Rattus norvegicus: one gene and its partners. The main gene of each other region encodes a partner of the protein of the gene in region 2 in a complex. Links are inferred from orthologs where the notes say so. Each region holds a gene or a part of one and is shown on either strand. Other genes may lie near its edges.

Region 1 (7,640 bases), on a different chromosome or scaffold from region 2:
CAGAAAAGACAAAGACTGTAAATTCCCCATACATGCAGACCCTAGCTTTGAATAATTAGAATGTGTATTTACGTTGGAGTATCTGATGGTAGGATACATGAAATAGCCATAGGGTCAGGAAAGGGATATAAGCACAAAAAAGGAGACAGTCAAACATATCAAATATTAAGTAGGGGGATACCAAAGATAAAAAGGTTTGAGTGGACATGAGAGTAGAGTCAACAAAAACTAAGTTTGTATGAAAAAGCCACAGAGAAATGTATTGCTTTGGCAGTAGAGGGGAATTGCATCATTCCTAACCCAGTGTGTTCTCTAATTCCATTCTAATACTTATATGGGATGGATCCCCAGGTCGGGCAGTCTCTGGATGACCTTTCCTTCAGTCTCTGTTCCACTCTTTGTCCCTGTTATTTCTCTTCTAAGAAGGACTGATCATCCGCACTATGGTTGTCCTTTTTCTTGAGCTTCATATGATCTGTGAATTGTATCTTGGGTAGTCTGAGATTTTGGGCTAATATCCACTTATCAGTGAGTGCATATCTTGTGTATTTTTTTGTGATTGGGTTACCTCACTCAGGATATTTTTCTCATGCCATCTGTTTGCCTAACAATTTTATGAAGTGATTGTTTTTAATAGCTGAGTAGTACTCCACTGTGTAGATGTACCACATTTTCTGTATCCATTCCTCTGTTGAAGGGCATCTGGGCTCTTTCCAGCTTCTGGCTATTATAAATACAGCTGCTATGAACATAGTGGAGCATGTGTCCTTGTTATATGTTGGAGCATCTTTTGGGTATATGCCTAGGAGTGGTATAGCTTGATCCTCAGGTAGTACTATGACCAATTTCCTGAGGAACAGTCAGACTGAGAAATTAGACAAAAAGAGATCAAAGGGAAAGAAAAATTGGAAAGAAAGAAGTCAAAATATCACTATTTGCAGATGATATGATAGTATATTTAAGTGACCCCAAAAGTTCCACCAGAGAACTCCTAAACCTGATAAACAACTTCAGCAAAGTGTCAGAGTATAATATTATCTCAAACAAATCAGTAGCCTTCCTCTACTCAAAGGATAAACAGACTGAGAAAGAAATCAGGGAATATTGTAAAAATGGCCATCTTGTCAAAAAGCAATCTACAGATTCAATGCATTCCCCATCAAAATTCCAACTCAATTCTTCATAGAGTTAGAAAGAGCAATTTGCAAATTCATTTGGAATAACAAAAATCGTAGGATAGGGAAAGCTATCCTTAACAATAAAAGAATTTCTGTGGAAATCACCATCCCTGACTTCAAGCAGTATTACACAGCAATAGTGATAAAAACTGTGTGGTATTGGCACAGAGACAGACAGGTAGATCAGTGGAATAGAATTCATGACCCAGAAATGAACCCACTCACCTATGGTCAAAGGAGCCAAAACCATCCAATAGAAAAAAGATAGCATTTTCAACAAATGGTTCTGGTTCAACTGGAGGTCACCATGTAGGAGAATGCAAATTGATCCATTCTTATTGCCCTGTACAAGTGGATCATGGACCTCCCCATAAAGCCTGAACTAACACAAGAGAAAGAGGGGAAGAGCCTGGAACACATGGGCACTGGGGAAATTTTCCTGAACAGAACACCAGTGGTTTTGTTCTAAAATCAAGAATCGACAAGTAGGACATCATAAAATTGCAAAGCTTCTATAAGGCAAAGGACACTGTCATTAGGACAAAATGGCAACCAACAGATTGGGAAAAGGTCTTTACCAATCCTACATCCAATAGAGGACTAATATCTAATATATACAAAGAACTCAAGAAGTTAGACTCCAGAGAACCAAATAATTCTATTTAAAAATGGGGTACAGAGCTAAACAAAGAATTCTCAGCTGAGGAATATTGAATGGCAAGGAAGCACCTAAAGAAATGCACAAAAAAAAATGTTCAGTGAGGTTTTTTGGGGGGCAGGTGCTGAGGTCAGATGCCTCGGAAAATTGAGGAAAGCAAAGACCTTCTACTCACAGCCCTGCGGAAGGATACCAAATCTGTCAAGATAAAAAAGAACAAGGAGAATTCGAAATTCAATTCGCTGCAGTAGTACCTTCACTCCCTGGTTATCACAAACAAGGAGAAGGCAGAGAAGCTGAAGCAGTCTCTACCCCATGTATTTGGCAGTGAAGGAGCTGAAACGAACCAGACCTCTGCATGTGACTATTAAAAAGTAAAGAAATGTTCAACATCCTTAGTCATCAGGGAAATGCAAATCAAAACAACCCTGAGATTCCACCTCACACCAGTCAGAATGGCTAAGATCAAAAACTCAGGTGACAGCAGATGCTGGCGAGGAGGTGAAAGAGGATCGTTCCTCCATTGTTGGGACTGCTACAGCCATTGTAATAGGATTCCTATGGGCTGAGCCCCATGTGCTGTTTCCCTGCTGATTTTAACATGTATCTTTGTGAGGAAGCCCAATGCAAGTATTGTGAAATACCTCTAGTAAGCCTTTACCAAGCCTGAAGCTGGGAACCTGAACCGATGCGCAGACGCAGATGTGTGTACGTGCGCGCAAGCCTGCGCGCGTGCCCGTGTGCGTGCTCGCGGGCGTGCCCGCGGGCAGCCCGTGATCCAGTGCACAAACACACACTTGTGCGTTCTTGCGTGCTGGAGTGCTGAAGAGCTCACATAATTGTGCGGGTGAACATACGACACACAGACACACACATACACACATGTGAATGTGCACGCGCACCCCTCACATCCCCTCCCCCACCTACATGCTCTCGCGTTCTCGCGCTTGGATTGGATGCTGGGTGTGATTGCGTGTGTGTGTGTGTGTGTGTGTGTGTGTGTGTGTGTGTGTGTGTGTGTGCCCTCCACACACAGGCACGTCCCCTCCTCCTCTCCACATAAGCACACATTCTCATGTCCTTGAAATGTTTGTTGCTTGTGCCCATGTACACCACACACACATATTGTTGAAGGGCTGATTTCGTGACTCTCAGTTGAAACAAAGGTTCTAGTACTGTTATTTTGATAAATGGCTTTGGATGAAGTATTAACTTCATTAGGCCCTGGATTTTTTAATGCGTGGGTGGCATCAGTAAGCAGCACTTACATATTGATAGGAGGGCAAGATAAATGAAAAAATAATAATGCACATCACAGGTGCTCAGTAAAATGACTTTATGTCCATTTAACAAATAGATAAGAAATAAAATATTAAATGTATAGTTAATGATGTAATATTTGAAATTTTGAGGTATAACTGAGTAAACAGTAATATTTAATGATAACATCACAACGAAAGAATCATTTTAATGTTAATGCATACTACAGAAAACACAGTAATTAGTAACTTATATCTGATTAATGACATCACCATAATTTATATTGTATAATTTTATAATGTGTATTTAGATTATATTTAATAAAACATCCCTAATTTTGTAGATGTCATTTTACAAAACAATTTTTTAAAAAATTAGCATGCACAGTATTAGACATCACTATATTCATCAAAAGTCTTTCCATCAAAAACATGGGAGGTTCTTAGAGAGACTGCGCAGAAAAATTAACTGGATTACGTTTCCTCCCCCCTTCTGAAAAACATGGAGTATGTGCTTACACATCAATGCAAAAAAAAAAGAAAAGAAGTGGGCACACTTAGACAAGGATTCTGTAGCAAATTTTCATAACAAAAGAAAAAGAACAAAAAGCCATGTTTGTGTAATTCAATCAATAAATCTGTCATAGTCCCATAAATAAATAATATTGTAAATATTGCTAAAAATTCTTTTTGCATTTGAATTTGCTGCAAATATCCTTTTAAATATTCCCTTTTCTTCTCCCGAGAGCGCAAGTAATTGGTTACGCAACAGGTGAAATACTTGCTGGCATCTTTTTGCTTTAACGAAACAAAACAAAATCACAGAGGAAACGTTTCTACGACGTTTACACAGTTACAATAAAGGCAGAATTTACCATTTAGTAGATTCCCGGATAGCCTCCGTTTCGGGGGGCTTTAGGCATTGGGATGAGCCTACAATTGAAACGTAATCAATTACTGTACTTAGATGTAATGAAGACAGCCTGTCACTGCGCACCTGACTGTCAATCTACAAGGAAACACGCAGCAGCTCGAGGGGCATTTAAGCCCCTGAACCCCGATGGGAAGGCGAAGGCTGTGTCTGTCGGTCAGAGCACTGTGCAAGGCAGCCGGGACAAGCAAAAGAGAGGCCACTCGCGGGCATCCCCCGCCTCCAGCAGCCCGCTTGCGAGCATCCAAAAGCCTCCGGGAGTCCCTTTGCGCATCCCCGGGTCTTCGACAGTCTCATCGCCGTCCCCCCCAGGGACAGGGAAGGCCTCGGCCCCCACTACAGTGCGCCTGCCGGATACTCACGGAAAGGAGAGACAGCCGGACGACGCGAAGCGGCTCCCTGCGCCCAGGCAAGGGCTAGGGAAGCAGCAGCTCAACCCGCTCGACCGCTGGCCACGCACGCTGTCCAGTCAGCCCAGTGTCGCAGTGCGGGAGGCGCGCCGCCCGTGACGTCAGGCCCGCCTCTGCCGCTGTTACCTAGGTAACTGAGTCGCCGGGCAGAAGATGCCAGCCTGACCACGGCCACGCCCCCTACCCAGCCTCCGGAGCGCGTTTCCGGGGTCCGGCGGGCGCGCGCACCCGGCCGGAGGCTGAGTTCCGCCCTCAGCGCCGGAAGCGAGTCCCGAGTGCACGTCTCCCGCTAGTGAAACCTGTCGGCTCTCGCCGCGGGCAAAGCGCGGTCACTCAGAGCTTGAAGGAGAGTGTGTGTGTGTGTGTGGGGGGGGGGGGGACATAGGTGGGAGGTGACGCGTCCGGCGTAGATACGGGAACGAGTGGATGGATGGATGGATGGATGGATGGATGGATGGATGGATGGATGGATGGATGGATGGATGGGCGAGTGAGCGAATGAGGCAGCACAGCCGAGAAAGACTCGTCACCCCACAAAATGAGACGCGCCTTTAAATGTGAATGGGGATCCCTGCTGCAGACAAATCCTCAGGCGCCCGAGTTTACAGTGTGGAAAAGGGATTACGCCACATTTACTTTCCAACGCCCCCTCACTTCCGCTTCAGGCGCCATCTTGGGCTTGTGAGTCACCCAGAGTGGAAAAATACGAGGTGCATCATTTCCCTCAGAATCAGACGCCATTTTCGGCTGCTGCCCTCCCACACAACCTGTGGCTCCTTTGTATGGCGACAGTATTGCGTGATTGTCCGGAGGCCAGCTTTTCCGTTCTGACTGGTATCAGACCTAACAAAACACATCTCGTCAGGGTCTCAAAATGCAATGAGGAGACCACGGGAAATGTCACCAATATAAAGCCTGCATGTTGAGCTGCTGAGTTTGTCATTCAAAAAAACCCTCAAAATCCCCTCCTCTAAACCTATCTTGATTTAAGCTACCTCCATCCCTGCAGGGTTTTACCAAACCTATCTTTAATGTCCCTAGTGCAAAGCCTATCCATTACGGTTACCTAAGGCAACCTGCCAGTCTTTCTTACGCGGGAACTGGCCTCACTACCTGTGTCCTGACTCCAGTTTTGACTTCGAATTTTCTTTCCCAACAGTGCCAGACTAACCTTATTAATGTGAAGCTGGTAACGCTACTGGTACCCTCTTTTGAAAATTACTTCAAACGAGAACAATCTCATCACGTTGCCATGGATACGGATGCTCCCTCTCCCTGGGGTTACTCTCTCATTACCTTCTTTTATTCAGTTTTACACATTTTTTTTGAATTACGTACATCATGAAATAAGCAACATCGAATTGTATGTTGCACATAACTTTATGCAATATTGAATTATGTATGCAATGCCAATTTACACCCTTTTCTGCCATGACCCTCGTACATACTGCCCTCTCTTGAAAATCCTTTCGGAGTCGTGTCCCTTCTGTGAATCTTAGTAAGTTACCTATTAAATATTCTGAGCAGTCCCAATATGCTCACCTCATTAGACTGTGTGTTCTGATTCTAAACATTTTCATCGGGTTTTAATTTTTTCACCCGCAGCATGTTAAGGAGTATCAAATGGTATTTAGTGAACAGATATTCGATGAATTATGCGCTCCCAGAGCTATGCCTTTTGCCTTCTGTACCCTTCATCATGTATACTCTTAACATTTGAACTCCCAATTTCACAGTTGTAATGTTGGTTGCTTATTCTGCCTTAGGTATTATTCTCAGGACACAATTGGCTGACATCCATGCCAGTAACCGTTTTGGTCCCCATTTTTGTAACAGCTGAGTATATATATATATATGTATATGTATATGTATATATATATATAGTATTTGCAGAGGTATAGTGTGGAATAAGGCAGTCTTTCTAGCAGAAGTGACATTTAAAGCCTGACAACGTGTACAGCTATTTTTGGTTGCAAAGAATCTCTGGGTAAAATGACCTATGTGTCTACTGCTCTATAGTTTTTCCCCAGTTTTGTCTGTTGACTGGAGCTGGAAGTGGGATGGTAGGATGAACGAACATGCAGTACATACAAGACCTTGGCTTCTTGAGCACCATTCTCCTTTCAAAGAACTAGGGCCCCTTGGAGAAGCACTTAATTCTAGAACAGGAACAGACCATGTACGAAATGGAATTGAAAAAAAAAATTGTGACAGAAATTAAGGATGATGAAACTTATCAGAGATTGCCAGAAGTCATCTTGAAAAGGCCACAGCTGACTATAGACGGCTCAAACTAAGCACCTGTACAATCATGTTCGAGTGCGCAAAATAAGAATACTGAAAGCCACAGTGAAATAAAAGAGTATTTTGTAAACTCGAAAGAATTCTTCTTTAAATTAAAATTCCAACTAATATAGAAGGAATAGTATGTGCAGAAATATCACCATGTGACAACTATTATAAGAATCACTCATTTAGAAAAATTACTATATGCTAAGCCAGAGGGTAAGAAGTTTATAATGTTATTAATATTCACAAACTAAGTTGCCCATTAAGTGTACCTTTGTTATAAGGGGGGGGGAGAAAAACCTTGACACTGGTGTGGTGATGAAAATTAGTACAAGTAGTCAAGCAAATATCAACATCAAACCCCACCTGGGAAGAGGCATCATAATTAACCCATCACATGCTGGGTGACTTAAAGAATAGGAAGTCGTGTTTTCGTTTTTAGAAGTTAGACGTTCAGAACGGATGTGCCTGCAGGATTTCTCTCCTTGACTCAAAGACAGCTTTTTTTTTTCTTTTCCATGTCTTCACATGGTCTGCCACCACTCCACTTGATTGTGTCCAAATATCTTCTAAGGGTACTGTCATATTAGCTTAGGACCTATCCTAATGAACTTTTTCACTGAGACCCTCTCTTCCAAAACAGCCACATTGTAAAGTATTGGGCTCAGGACTCGAATTGATTTGGGGGTAAGTATAGCTCAGCCGTAACAATAGTGATTTATAGAAACAACAGTTCTATTGAATGGTGGGTTTCTGGTTCAGATGAAATAACTGTATAAAGATATATACTAAGCAAACAAATTTTATTGTGGTCTATGTATTAGATGCTATTAAGGGCTTGGGGATATGTAAGTATCTTTGTGCCTGTGTGTGTGTGTGTGTGTGTGTGTGTGTGTGTGTGTGTGTGTATGTGTG
Region 2 (6,980 bases):
CCTGATCGCCTCTTTTCCCGCGCTCTCTGCAGGTGTCAGTGTTCCTGCTGTCCCACAGATGTTTTGGATATTACATTCACGGCAGGTCAGTCCACGGCCATGCGGACACCAACATGGAGGACATGAACATGAACCTGAGGCGAGAGGCGGTAAGAACGTAGTCCTCACGAATGACTTTGGAAAGTCGCAGGGCTGCCAAGTAATGACCTGAGTACGAATGGAGCCCGGGTTTGTCTGCAGTCTCCATGGATTTCAGAGTAATCAAGTGCGCCAGGAAAGTTCTTCCTCCTCTGCAGGGAGAGAGGGAGGATGTTTGAGTTAGGGGAGCACCAGTGCACTGAGACTAATGGGTGGAAAGACAGACTGCAGTCATCAGTGGTTCTTAAACAAGAGCGTGTCAATGGCAGCTCTAGCGAAGGGTCAGGCTCACGGGATCCGGACACAGAGACTCCTTTCAGTCAGTTAAAAATGAAGCAAGCCGACACTGCACTTCCTGCTGTGCTGGGAAGACCGAGCCTGAAGACAATCAAATCTCTAGTTTAACCACGGTTTTATAGGAAGAACAGAGTCCAGAGGAGCAACCGAGACAGAGCTGATAGAAGTCCTTAGCACATCCAATGTGCAGCGCACCACAGAGCACATGGCTGACTGTCTGTAACAAACCAACGGCGTTAAAGGAGAGGAGGGCTGATGGTGGGGTAGAGGAGATCCTGCTTGAGGGACACTAGGAAACAGGGCAGCGAAGCTTAAGATACCGAGAAAGTCTGACATAATCATTCGCTGTTCTATTAAGTGATTAATTTTGTTAGTTATAAAAATGACAGTGGCGGTTGTTTCATTAAATCCTTATTAGAGAATCACAAGTGAAATGACAGGATCTTAAGTCTACAGTAAAATACCCTAAATAAAAGAAACCTGGGGAGATAAATGAAACAAAGATTGGCTAAAGGTTGATGATACTGAGACCCGAGCAAGGACACCCCAAAAAAGAACAAGGGGTGCTAAGAAGAAAGCCTTAGGGGTTCACTGAGCCCATATCTGCGACTTGGAGAATTGAGGAGCTAAACCCTCCCTTAGCTCTTAGACGCGACTGTGGGTTGAAAGGTTACCTGTAATAATTTAAGCCGTAAGCCCCTGGGAACAAAGATGACAACCGAGGAGTGCCATCAAAAGTGTACCCTTTGGAAAGCCTCAGGACGTGAGTAGTAATTCAGTTTAGTTTACTATCATAGGACATATATGTCAGTCACAATTACAAGATAGCAAATTAGGGTAAAGTGCATATAACTAATATGTCAGCGATATTGATATCTAAAACCATGGTGCTCCGTCTTCAACTTGCCATACTTCTGTGAAGCTAATGGTTAATAAAATGTGAACCGTAAGACAGGTGTTATCAGGAAGGTTTTTACAACTGGAAAATGTTTTGAGTAGTAAACGTCAGGAGATTCTTGGGACTCTCTAGTCTTAGACTGCTTATGTGAATTTTAACCCAAGGAAAATTCTTAGAGTCTAGATTTTTCCACAGGAAGAAAGCATGCAAACGTTTGAGAGGATTGTGTAGGCTGGTTTACCTTTACAATTAAACCTCTGAAGTTAGTGCTTAACTATTTTATATTAAAGATGGGAGTCCACTGTCCTCATGTCAGACAATGAGGACCTTCAGTGGCAATGACTTTGAAGGGGACAAGGAGGAGGATGCAGGCATAAATGTCTTGGAAAATGCCCAGCAGGACTAGGGAGCAACTGAAAGTCAGTGAGAGTCACTACTCCACACATGATCAAGTACTAGCAAGCCAGTGGGTGCTGGGTCCCCAGCCCTCCAGCTCTCCGAGTGTGCCCCGGGGATGGTGAAGCCTGAGCGGAAGGAGACCCTCGCAGTGAAGGAGCTCAAGGCCCAGAGGATTCCTGGCGTTGTCGGCTACCGACCAGATGGAAGCTACGAAGACTGGGGTCATCAGAACCGACTGAGCAGAGATATCAGACTGTGCCTGGCTGATTTTCCTATGCTGCCACTTTTTATATATAAATAAAAGTCATCCTTTCTACCTCCCCAAATGACTATGTATGTATGGAAAATTGCTCGGGATATGATGTTTAACAAAAAAAAAAGTGTAATTCCGAGTGTTGTCATTGTTGTTGTTGTTCTGTGTATGTTTGTGACTTAGAAAAGAGCTGGAAATGATGTGCTTTAATATATCCAGTCCAGATATTGAAATTTATAGCTGATCTTTTCTTGGTTCCTCTTCATAGTTTATGCATTCTTCATTCCCCACAATTTCCTATACTTTGTTAATTTAAATTTTTATTCAAAATAGAGAATCTCATATATATCTTCCTTTACATTTGTGGAAACCAAAGGCTGTCCTGCTCGCTGGGTGGGATCAGGCGAGAGAGAGTAGTAAGTTCTGAGAAGGAGTCACGGAGGCAGAATCTGACGGGCCGTGAGCCGTCAGTGGGAACTGGCTGGGCACTGAGCTACTGCAACAGTGAGTTCGTGTTCGTCGTGTATAGTCTGTGAGAAGGTATCCATACTTCCACTGTTCAGTCTTACAAACGTTAAAGAAGGTAAGGTCCTCGCGGTGAAAACTAAGGTACAAACTGTACAGTGAGCTCAGTGGTTTAGAGCAGAGTACAGGAGGTGACACCGCGACGACGGGGAAGCTGGAATGAGAGTGAAGTGACTGAGACCACAGATCTGTGGGAAACTGTGACCACAGTGAGAAACACTAGTGTTCGTCTCAAGTCCAGTATCAGCAAGATTCCATTAGATTAATAAATCTTGTAACGTGAACAAGCTGAAGAACTTTCTTTTTTTAAAAGGCCTTTTGCAATCATTTCTATCTTAATTTAAACCCTTAAATTTTTTGTTTTTTAGGAAAATTTGTGCAGTCAAAGAGGTTTGGTGCCCAACACAGATGGGCAGACGTTTCAGATTGCCGTTTCCAGTCAGATGAGACAGCACTATGACAGAATTCACGAGACATTAACAAGGGTCTGTAAAGTATTGCTCACGCGTATTTCACCATCCTTAGGTCATTTAAGTCCCGCATCAGGCGTGCTGTGCTTACACGTTTCTCTCCTGCATATTAGAGAAATGGCCCTGCCAGACTGCTGAGCTCATCAGGGAGTACCTTGGAACAAAGTATAAAGGCATACCACGCAATGAATAAGTTCCTCGGCTCTTTCATTGACCACGTATGTGTTTGGATGTCTGTCTGTCTGTAGCCAGGGTGGTCTGCTGGCTTTGAAAAGTTAAATGAGAATTCAGTTATATTTTCACTCAGCCGTGTCAGTGAACCCATGCTTTTCTGTCATCCTAACACATAGGAATATTTTTTTAAAAAGCATTTGCAGCCACTAACAACTTATGGTTTAAACATAAAGTTAGATTACATAAAGTTAGATTATCTAAAAGAAAAATGTGATTTTAATGTGACCATTAGCAAATTATGACTCCCTTTTATATGTCCCATAAAATTCTATTGTAGAACTTTATACTATACTAGAATTGTATGTCGCCAAAATGTTATCTCACATTGAAATCCTTACACTATGATTGTATTTTTAAAAAGCATCTTATAAATCAATTTTCAGATCTTAATTTTAAATTAAACTAAAATCTTAAAGATTTTCAGTCTTAAATTTAAGAATTCAAGATTTAAAATATTTCTAAAATAATTTTTAATATTTAAAATTAATATTTATTAGTTTAAATTCTAGCATAGTGATTCGTTTTATACAAGTTTTTCTTTGTATGTTATGTGTTCTCAGCTTTTGTAGTTCTAATTTTTCATTAATTAGAAAGCATTGACTTCACTACAGTTTTTTACATGACTGTCTTCGCAAACTAGGTTCATAAGGAAATGGATTACTTCATAAAAGACAAGTTGCTTCTCGAAAAGATCCTCGGGATGGAGTTCATGGAGCCCCTGGAGAAGAGCATCTTCTACAATGGTGACCCTCGTGTCCTTGCTGAGCTTGAGGCCTGTTTGGGGGAGACGGGGTGCTGGCAGTCATTCTTCCATTGATCTTTATGATTTCATATAGAAACGATGGGGACTTGATTAGGTCAGCCTAGTCAGATGGATTCTGAAGTGTGTGAACTGACCCAGTATGAAGGTAACGAGACAGGAAGAGGTGTCATTAAGGAACATAGCAGAGCAGCTCTGGGGAGGAAGAGGAGGCGAACATTCGGGTTTTGTGCTTGTTTACTTTCCATGGTGACAGGAAACTTCTCAGGTCTTTTAAGAAGGTGTTCAAATCCCCAAAAGGACAGAATTGTGTGTTGAGGCAGAGGACCAAACTGTAGGAAACTGACACAGGAAGCCCATGCTCGCACTGTGACTTAGATTCTTATCTTTTATTCTTTTCTTGGACACTATCTCTAAGATTAGTTTAGCTGTTAGCTCTATAAGCAGAGGACGAGGATTCAGTAACTGCTCCTTAAAGGTGTTCGTAGCATACGCACTCTGTAGCAATTATCAACATTTGCTTTGATGTTGAAACTCCTGCTTGTGGGTGTTTCTGCGTGCCCTGACTACCATTTTAGACTGGCAGTCTGAAGCACCTTCTACTTTAGTGTGAGCCAAGATGTACCTCATGTTTAATCTGCTGTGGCCGGGGGGTAGCACGGATCTTCTCTGTCACTGACTGACACATCTTCCATGGCTTTCCTAGATGAAAGTCATTCTTTCAGCAGTGTGCTGTATTATGGGAACGAGGCCACTCTCCTTATCTTTGATCTGTTGTTCTTCTGTGTCGTGGACTTGGCTTGCCAGAACTTTGTTTTAGCATCCTTCCTCACCTACCTGCAGCAAGAGGTAAGTAACAGCGTGTTCTGGTTTCTCCTAAAGCAGCCATGTTAGAAGTGAGGGTATGTATTTTCTCAACAGAATGTGAGAGCATCCACTTTGAGTAGGCTTGGTGAATGTTTAGATTATGATTAACACCGCCAAAGGAAAGAACCATTCAGCAGACCACACCGCACTCTGCCCCTGGGGACCATAAATGTTCAAGGATCCAGTGGAAGGAAAGTGGCTTTAATGCCTAGGAAGATACTTACATACCACCCGTCTCCCACATACCAAAAGTGAGCACGAATTTCCCTAAGTCCCATTCACACACAAGGAGCAAACACTGGGCATGTGGTTCAGGGCTGTACTCGATTGCACACGTCTCACTGTGGGGACCATTTCAAGAAATGGCAGCTGTGCTGGAAATGCCGTTATTGGTAGCACCCAAACACCCTCTCTCACGAAGGATAAATGAGTTTCTACATGGTGTATTATTCCTGGATTTAGAATCATAGCAAATTCTTCCCTTACCAGGGAGATGTTTTTGATCTTTCCATAGTTTTAGGAGTTAAATTCCTTAAGTATTTAAAAGTATATTCTTGCAAGCATGAGAAGTATGTATATAATTCATAAAAACATTTCCTAATATGTATATTTTAAAATAAATATATCTAGTAATTAAAGTATCTCATTCATGATATGAAGTGGTTGGGAAAATTAGCTAGTTTAATTTAGGTACTTTAAATTGATTTGCATATTTAATTTTCTTCTTAATTGTTTTGCTTTTCTAGATTTTTCGATTTATCCGAAATACAGTAGGACAAAAGAATTTAGCAACCAAAACACTAGTGGATGAAAGATTTCTGATCTAATCTGTGATGCAAAACCTGAGGACTCAGTATAATGGGGCCAAGCCGTGATGTCAGGCTATCTTTTGTAAAACTCGTAATACATATTATTCTTCCTTTTTTTATCTACAGAAAGATTTATTTTTATAGCTTGTAAAATATAAGATATAGTAGAAATACTATTTCCCCATTATGTGTTGTATTTAATTTACTAAATAATGCATTAACGCTGACCAGGAGGCGAACAAATAAACAACACAAAACAAAGCCAACCCCTCCCAATCCCACTTTCCATGCTTTCCCAGGCCTTGATGGCAAGCTAACCCCAGCACTGTCGTTTCAGAACAGGACCTGCCTGCTTTTCCTCACAGCTTAAATCTATTTTTCTAGGCTCAAAACTACTGTTCTGTTCAGTATTTTCACATTTTATTAATATTCGTGGTTAAATAAATTTTAAGAGGTATTTTCAGATTTAATTTGGTTCGCGTTACTGATGACTCTAATAGCTCACCCTGTCTGTCAGTAGGTGGGTCCGTCCCCACTAGACAAAGCATCCAGTCCTTTTATGTACCTGGTTCCTGATGTCATTACATTTGTTAAACTGGGTGATATTTTTCACAATATAGGATTTTTTCACGTACTTTGATATTTTAAGAGTACTTCTCCAAAGTGTTGCTTTTCAATTATGACTAAATATTACAAATAATAGACCATAAATATATCACCTTATGTTGACCAATTTATTGGAAGCAAACTTCGACTTCATGAGGCAGTAGCTTATTTTCTACTAAGGAAAATAAATGGATTCAAGATACTTTTACAGTAAATCCTGAACCATATAGTCGATCTTTTTCTATTTTCCCCTCAGTACACTCTTAAGTGTGTCTTTTCATGGTGTGTCATAGACTTGGAGAGCCCTGGTGCTGCTGATGATTGCCACACCCCCAGACAACGTGTCTGCTTCTCACAATGATGCTGTGTAACATGTAAACGCAGTGCTGTGTACATACTGTATATACCTGTGAATTGAAAATAGATAATAAAATATTTTACATTGCTATTTCCTGTTTGATCTGTGTCTGCCAGAAGAGCTAGCACTCAGGAATGCAGTGCTCTTGGGGCAGGGTGTCCAGCCGCTGCCCAAGCTGGATCTTTCGTTTTGTGGATGACTGAACAGAACAGGGAAGGAGAAAAGGTTAAGTGTCTGAAGGGCCTCAGAACAGGGATGTCTTTATAAAAACGACAGAGGTGAATAAATGAAGCAGCATGGAGTTTTAAAACCACCTACATAGAAGCAATTCAACCTTCTTCCCTCAGTAAATAGTTACTACCAGGG
Region 3 (7,780 bases), on a different chromosome or scaffold from region 2:
CCACACTGATGTAACCTTTGCCTGATCTTCTCTTTCTTTCTTCCTTTCTTTTCTCTTTTTGAAAAAGAGCCATACTGGGATTAAAGATGTGCGATATCCTTCCAGACTTCTATTACCTTTTTAAATTTTTTACTTATTTTATTTTTTTAGGGGAGCCAGCTCATGTTTAATTGTGGTTTTTTTCTTTTTCTTTTTCTTTTTCTTTTTTTTCGGAGCTGGGGACCGGACCCAGGGCCTTGCGCTTGCTAGGCAAGCGCTCTACCACTGAGCTAAATCCCCAACCCCTAATTGTGATATTTTTAATTGTCCAAGTTTTAGACATCTACCTTCCCACCACATGTGTATGTAGTGTCTTTAAATTACAGGAACATGTCACTGAAAGGTAAGGAATGCTTGAGGAATGTATTGCCCTTGCACAGAGGCTACCGGAACCCTCTGTGTCCTCCAGTTTTGGTATCTGTGCTGCTGAAGTGAGCCTGTATGTGTATATAAAGCCATACAGCCCGTGTACATATAACCTTGGGAAACAGAAGCCAGTGACATTTCCGAGGTAGATGAGATGGACTGACAACCAGGAGACAGTTATAAGAAAACTTTGTACAGGCTTCGCACTCAGCTCTCTTAAATTCACTGCTTATAAAAGTGTTTTGAGAAAGCTTTGAGAGATTTGCCTACAAAAAGGAGCAGATGTTCTGGGGTCAAAGGGATCTGTACTTGACAATTCGGTTAACAGAGGATAGTGCTCAGCGTTCGGCTGACAGAACTGCTTCAAGCCTGCAGCTGCTTGGGGAATTTCTCAGGTTGGGCTCAGCCTCCATCCTGAGCTGCTCAACTACCGCCCTCTTCACAGCATTGATGCTGGAGGAATGCAGCGGGGACCTCAAGAGCTGGGCCAATTTGTCCATCCTTACAAGGGGCAGCAAGGTCCTCTTGCTTTGTTGGGGGAAAAGGGTCTTACTCTGCAGCCCTGGCTGGGTGGAATTCACTTGTGGGTGGCGCTCCTGCCTCTGCATGCTGAGTGCTGAGATTGTGGACATGATCACCGGTTCTGGCTTCTTTAAGTTTTTAATGCTGAGGATTTCACCGAGGGCCTCAAGGCACAGCAAGTATACACTCACTGGTGAGCTAGCTGTGTCTCCAGTGTAAATATAACCTGCTTAATCGCAAGTTCACACTGCTTAATTTAAATAAGAGTTATGTTTGGCAACCTGTCAGTAAAGCTCCCGGAAAAAGTAATTTTTTCCAAGTTCAGTAAGACACATGCAAGGGTGTGGGTGTGGGCTTCTCACAGAGCTGTAGTTAAGTTTCTGAGCAATAGCTGAGACATATGTAACATTTTGGTGGCTCTCAAGTTACAACTTCAAGCTTTGCTACTAAACTCCTAAAATCTTTCTTTTTTGGGGGGTGAAGGGGAGGTAGCATGTACCACAATTTACAGGATTAAACAAGTCTGGGAGTGCTGGGAAATGTCTCTATATGCCCAAAGCTGAGTATAGGTCATATCACATCTATTTTCTCAGTATTGTTAATAGGGCTTTGCCTACGGTAAGGAGGTCATTGAATTGAAATGTGGGGATGAAGGCAAGAGACGCTTTAGGTCATAAGGGTTAAGGCCTCATCAGAAAGGATCTCCTGGTAAGCATGAGGAGGGGCCAAGGTTGCTTTCCCCACACCGAGCCTAGAGTGCTTTCTAGAAGCTGGGCAAACAATCAGCAGCAAGGCACTTGTTGTCATAGAAATAAGGTCTGAGCAATCAGTCAGTCATATACACAATTACTAAAAGCACCTTAAAGTCATGGCTCTGACCAGTGTTAGGAGAAATTTCAGGAGCACAGGACAAAATTCCTAAATTCTATCAGTCAGTACATGCGAAATAAATATGATCGTCAGAGAATCAGATAGGAGCAATCAGGATGTTGTCAGGTCCTGATTACACGGAAATGCTAATCAGCAGATCATGCAAGCTCCAATCATCATTTTCTATCTGCCCTCCGAGAGGAGGAACAGGTAAGGATTAACCTCCTGACGATAAAGGACAAAGGGAGCCCATTCCTAATTAAGTAAAGACATTCCATATTAAAGAAAGGGTGAGAATATGACAATTTAGCACGAACCCAATGACTTATAGTTATTGCAACTCAAGAGCAATATCTATTTGCAAGTCGCCTGAAATATTTTATTTTTCCATTCGGCGCAGAAAGAGAGAAACAAAGTTCTCCCATAATGCTCCGCTCACATACAGCAAATTAGAAGCCCTATGTGAGGTTCTTATTTACATATTCCCGCCCACTCACTTCCGCCTATTTTGTACCGTAAAAATCCAAATAGAAGCATAAGCTACTAGCTCACGTACAGAAGGCTAGAAAAAAGCCTTTATTTACATCAGCCTTTTGATTTACCCAATGGTCTTCTGACAAATAGTCTAAGCCTTGCTCTTATTATAAAATGAATTTTATTACAAAACTCTAATAAAATTATAACCCAAGATTTGTGAGATCTTATCCCAACATTGCCATTTTCTGTTTAGACGCAGTTGGGAGGAGCAAAAGACTAGGGCGAGAGAAAACTGAAGCCTCTCCCTTTCTTCTTCCAGCAATGGGAGGGAGTTCATCACGTTTCCGGCTTTGGTCTCTTCATCGGATTGTGATCAGAAGGGTTTCTTTTTCAGCCCAAAGACAGCGATGAATAACGCAGTTTCAGTGACAGCTGGAAAAGCGCTGTGGAAGTAGGGGGTGGGTTTAGAGCCCCTTCCGACCCAAACACTCAAACCTCCAAGCCTTATATGTGAGTGGGTTAGCGGATGGGTACGACTCTTTAAAACTCTACCAATTTCACATGTGCAGGAAAGGTCTAGGTGGGGGAAACCTTCAGATTTGGGGTAGACTTTCCACCACCCTCCATTCCAAAATAACCTGCAGAAGGCAAAAATGTACCAGTACGTGGTACATTCCCATCGCTCGAATATGAAGAAAGATAGGGCCACAGACGCGCTACAGTGGGCTGCAATGGCTTAAAAATACAGCAGAGTCAAGGAAAATAATAGGTAAGTGATGGGTCCCTTTAGTACTCGGACTTGGGCTCAGCTTGTTCCCTTCCCTTAAGACAAACACCAGAGTTGGCAGCCATGCCTTCTGAATTTGTGGACACTTATGTGTAAGAGGCCAGAGCTGAGTTTGTTTTGATAGGACCTCTCCCTGTACACTTTTGGGAGTTAATGTCACATATGCCCTAGGCCTCACAAGAATACCTACAGGTCTGATACACTGTGGGAATTTCTCCAGTGCTCTGGTCCTCCTTGTCCACAACTCAGAGTCAACGGCTATCTTTTTTTTTTTTTTTTTTTTTTTAAAAAACAGGGTCTCTCTATGTAGCCCTGGCTGATTTGGAACTCACTATGTAGGCCAAGCTGGCTTCGAACTTAGAGATTCACCTGCTCCTGCCTCCCTAGTGCTAGGATTAAAGGTTTGCAACATCACACCCGGGTATCGAGAACCTTCCTATGTGTCTCATTTTCTTGGTCCCTTTTGAGTTCCCACAATGGTTTGTATTTTGCACACTCCTACAGAATACTGTTTAATCACACTGATTTACAGATGTTTATCCATCTCTTCCTCAAACAGGATAAAGTGGTTTTACTCCCACTCATGGATCGCCAGAACCTGGCTCACATCAGGGTTTAAGGTTTGAAGTCTATTAATTCCCCAAAACTGTCTAAAACCTCTCACCTAGAGAGATTCGCTTTGCCACGTAGGGCAGAGACTTGTGCCCAAAAGGCCTACAGAAGTGGAAAGAGTGAGTGGTGATGATGTCGCATGGGGACGCTGGCCAGGCAGAAAGGATACAGAGGAGGCTCTGGGTGCTATTAAACATGGAGACTCCTGAGAGGAAGCCAGCCAGCTCCACTGCAAAGAGGCCCAGGGTGAGGCAGAGCGCTGCTACCAGTCTGCAGAGAGAAAGGGTGATGGACCTGGGTTTCCGGATTGCGTAGAAGACCCTGGCACTCTCACCCCGCCCCAAGAGCTCACTGGTTGTCCTGCTTCTCATATTCCTCCGGGGTGAACTTGAGAGGCAGGCAAGCCTGGATGTTGCTTTCCTGGTGAGCCGGGCAGAAAGAAAGAAAGAAATGTCAAAAGAGGGATGGGGTTGCGGGGGACGGGAGCAACGGACCCAGTGTGGGTCTGTGGGAGTGGACTGAGCTGAGCTGGGTCCACTCTAAGGTGAGAATGGGAGGGACAAGAAGACACGCGCGCGCGCCCTGTCCACGTCTTACCCGGGACCAGAACAAAGTGATGACAATCACCAGATGAGCCAAGAGCGTCAGGAATCGAGAGGGCACGAGCCCGGAGATCCGACCCATGGCCTCGGGGGCCCAAAGCGGAGGCCGTAGAAGTCTGAGGAGGGTCACTCATCAAGTCTCCCAGAGCAAGCAGGCCAGACCTCTCTACTTAAGCCTCCTTCCCGCGTGCTCAGGCGCCGCCCGGTTGCCATGGTAACTGCGTCCTCAGGCGCCATGCAGCTGCCTCCGGAAGTCTCGCGATAGTGCTGCGCCCTCTGCAGATGTCTATAGGCCAGGTACCCGAGCCGATGCTCACCTCCTGGTGCTTGTGGGATGAATCCGGGAGGATGCACCCGTAACCACCAAATCCTCCCTTTTCCTGTGCTTCCCACTCACTGCCTTGGGCGCCAGGAGATGAGGGAACGAAGGAGTAGAGCTTCAGCACCGAGCTTTGCCCCACAGTCTCGCCAAGCCCTCCCCGCCCCCCCCCCACAGCCCCTGGTTGTCAGAGGGCTCCCTCTCCCACCCAAGACCAAACCTCTGCCGATGAACGACTCTAATTTCTCCCTAAATAACTTGTCTCGGTTTCATGAAAGATTTGCCGAGTGCAGAAATGAGCAACCTTGGAATGGGTAGAATAGGATGTGGGTGGATGAGGTGACAGCCTCCTCGGGATCCCAAGGGATCTGAAAAGGTGAAGAATGGAGTGGGGGACTAGAACAGCTTGTGCGCCCCTGGGAGGCTTAAACCAGGCTGATTCACCACCGATTTCACTCTCGCTTTGAGTTGCCAGGCCGCGGACATTGCTCAGTTACAGACCCAGAACCTCTTCTTAGGGTGATGTGACTGATTTGGGGCTTCGGATGAAATGCCTGCGATCGGAAAGTTCTCACTACCATCCCAGTTCACAATCAAGTCCCATTGACAATGAACCTCCTCCTTTTGCACCCCCTCTTCTCTCATTTCTCTGTGTGTGTGTGTGTGTGTGTGTGTGTGTGTGTGTGTGTGTGTGTGCCTCTAAACCAGCCTAAAAGACAAGACCCAGAGGGATTTCATTCATTCAACAAATATCTGATGTCTCCCAGATGCCAGGCACTGTGCTTGACTCAGAATACATCGATAAAGTCCCTCCAGTTTATATTCTAGGCAGAGAGACTGATAACAAAACAAACAAACAAAACAAAACAAACAAATACACACACACACACACACACACACACACACAAAACCCCAACAAAACCCTGCAAGGTAATGTATGCTGTAAATTTAAAAACTTTAAAGGGTGACACTAGAATAATATCAAAGGAAAGTTTTGAAATAGATAATTCCTAAATTTTCGTTTCAAGGAATTGGGGGGAGGGGGAGAGAGAGAGGAAATGTTTCTGTCTCCCTAAAGTAATACATGGGGTCCCCTTACCTAAACCAGTGAGTAAAAACATTTAGAATGCAGAGTCAACGTTTTTTACTTAAAGGTCATGAAAGACAGGCTGGAGTTCTTCCCACTGAGTGGGGGATAAACCTAACCTAACATGAGATCCCAAACCAGACAAAAGACACCCCCCACCCACACACACACTCACACTTTCATTATAAAAGACTGGTGGAATGTTTGACAAACAGTATAGTATTTGTAACTTAAATAACAACAACGTAGATTTTTTTAATTTTTTATTTATTATATATGAATACACTGTAGCTGTCCTCAGACACACCAGAAGAGGGCATCAGATCCCATTATAGATGGTTGTGAGCCACCATGTGGTTGCTGTGAACTCAGAACCTCTGGAAGAGCAGTCAGTGCTCTTAACTGCTGAGCCATCTCTCCACCCCCAATGTCCTGATTCTTTTCTTCAGTATTGGAGATAAGCTTTTGCATATAGGTAATAGGTAAGCACCCTCCACTGAGCTATACTTCCACTTTCCCTTCTGAGTCTTATAGTATATCTTCATCGATGCATAGAGTGGCATTCTAAGTCATTTGTAGCATTAAATGTTCTTATTTATTGAAATTCCCCCTTTATATTGAAACTTCTGCCTGTGCTGCACTGGGAATCAAATGCAGAGTCTGGACCACACGAAAAAACTGCTTTCCTACCGAGCTCCTACATGGTGAAATTTTATAGTAACTTTTTCATATAAATATGAATCTTAAGCTGGATAAGGGGAAAACACCTACAGTCCCAACACTTGGGAGGTAGAGGAAAGAGGGTCAGAAATTCGAGATCGTGCTCAGTTAGTCGGTTCAATAAAACAAAGAACTAAAATGACTTTACAAACAAACTGTAGAGGTGGCTCAGTGGTTATCCCAGCACCAGGTGTTAATCCCAGCACTCAGGAGGCAGAGGCAGTCAGATCTCTGTGTTCGAGGCGAGCCTGCTCTACAAAGCAGGACAGCCAAGGCTACACAGAGAAATCCTCTGTTGAAACAAAGATCACAGAACACTCTTGTTAAATTCAGTTCCCAGCACCCGTATTGTGTTGCTTACAACCTCTTGTAACTCTAGAGATTCGGTGCCCGCTTTTGGAAGCTGCACACAAACACACACAACACACACTCAATGCACACACACACTCATACACACATACATATGGACTCACACTCAATGCACAAACACACTCAACACACAACACAGACTCACACTCAATGCACACACATACACACGGGCTCACACTCAATGCACACACACTCATATACATACACACACGAACTAACACTCAATGCACACACATACATTCACACACACACTCAATGCACACACACTCATACACACACAGCACACTCATACACACACGCATGCATACACACACACAGACTCACACTCAATGCACACAAACACACACACCACACTCAACACACACACGGACTCACACTCAATGCACACACACATATTCATACATACACACACGTTCATACATACACAAACACACACACACGGACTCACACTCAATGCACACACACATTCATACACACACACAGACTCACACTCAATGCACACACTTATACACAATATTTAAAAGAAATTGTGAGGCCTGGTGGCTCATAGCTTTAGTTCCAGCACTCAGGAGGCAGAGGCAGACAGGTCTGTAAGGTACATAGTAAGGGGGTTGGGGATTTAGCTCAGTGGTAGAGCGCTTTGCCTAGCAAGCGCAAGGCCCTGGGTTCGGTCCCCAGCTCCGAAAAAAAGAAAAAAAAAAGGTACATAGTGAGATCCTGTCTCAAAAAAGATACGTCAGTTAATTAGTTTAATCAAGTCACCTCTTAGCTCCATATGGTGGCACACTGAAGACAGCCAGGGCTAACAGCTAACAAACATTGTTGGTTTGGTTTGGTTTGGTTTTGAGACATAGTCTCATATATAGCTCCATCTTTCCTAGAATCCACTATGCAGATCAGGCTGGTCCGCCCGCGAACTCACAGAGACCCTCCTGCCTCTGGGTTCAAAAGTGTTCATCACCATTCCTAGCTACATTTATTTACTTTTTTTTGGGGGGGGGGGTATTCTC

What was found. Proteins that work in one complex are often made in the same cells at the same time.
Region 1: Tmem67 (region 2) and Ahi1 share a complex: the UniProt entries of both Homo sapiens proteins name them as parts of the tectonic-like complex. The link is inferred for Rattus norvegicus from reciprocal best matches to the Homo sapiens genes TMEM67 and AHI1.
Region 3: Tmem67 (region 2) and Tmem107 share a complex: the UniProt entries of both Homo sapiens proteins name them as parts of the tectonic-like complex. The link is inferred for Rattus norvegicus from reciprocal best matches to the Homo sapiens genes TMEM67 and TMEM107.

Annotation. Positions count from the first base shown.
Region 1 is NC_086019.1:17,578,879-17,586,518, reverse strand, and holds the start of Ahi1 (jouberin), read right to left. Parts: upstream 4,489-7,640; 5' UTR 4,389-4,488; intron 4,029-4,388; exon of another isoform or gene 3,971-4,028; intron 1-3,970. UniProt on the Homo sapiens protein: Involved in vesicle trafficking and required for ciliogenesis, formation of primary non-motile cilium, and recruitment of RAB8A to the basal body of primary cilium.
Region 2 is NC_086023.1:30,333,517-30,340,496, reverse strand, and holds the end of Tmem67 (meckelin precursor), read left to right. Parts: intron 1-32; coding exon 33-149; intron 150-2,878; coding exon 2,879-2,995; intron 2,996-3,093; coding exon 3,094-3,198; intron 3,199-3,854; coding exon 3,855-3,957; intron 3,958-4,680; coding exon 4,681-4,823; intron 4,824-5,587; coding exon 5,588-5,668; 3' UTR 5,669-6,704; downstream 6,705-6,980. UniProt on the Homo sapiens protein: Required for ciliary structure and function. Part of the tectonic-like complex which is required for tissue-specific ciliogenesis and may regulate ciliary membrane composition.
Region 3 is NC_086028.1:54,267,904-54,275,683, reverse strand, and holds Tmem107 (transmembrane protein 107), read right to left. Parts: upstream 4,489-7,780; 5' UTR 4,358-4,488; coding exon 4,271-4,357; intron 4,094-4,270; coding exon 4,026-4,093; intron 3,968-4,025; coding exon of another isoform or gene 3,944-3,967; coding exon 3,843-3,943; coding exon of another isoform or gene 3,726-3,842; intron 3,010-3,725; coding exon 2,913-3,009; coding exon of another isoform or gene 2,718-2,912; coding exon 2,648-2,717; 3' UTR 2,164-2,647; downstream 1-2,163. UniProt on the Homo sapiens protein: Plays a role in cilia formation and embryonic patterning. Requires for normal Sonic hedgehog (Shh) signaling in the neural tube and acts in combination with GLI2 and GLI3 to pattern ventral and intermediate neuronal cell types.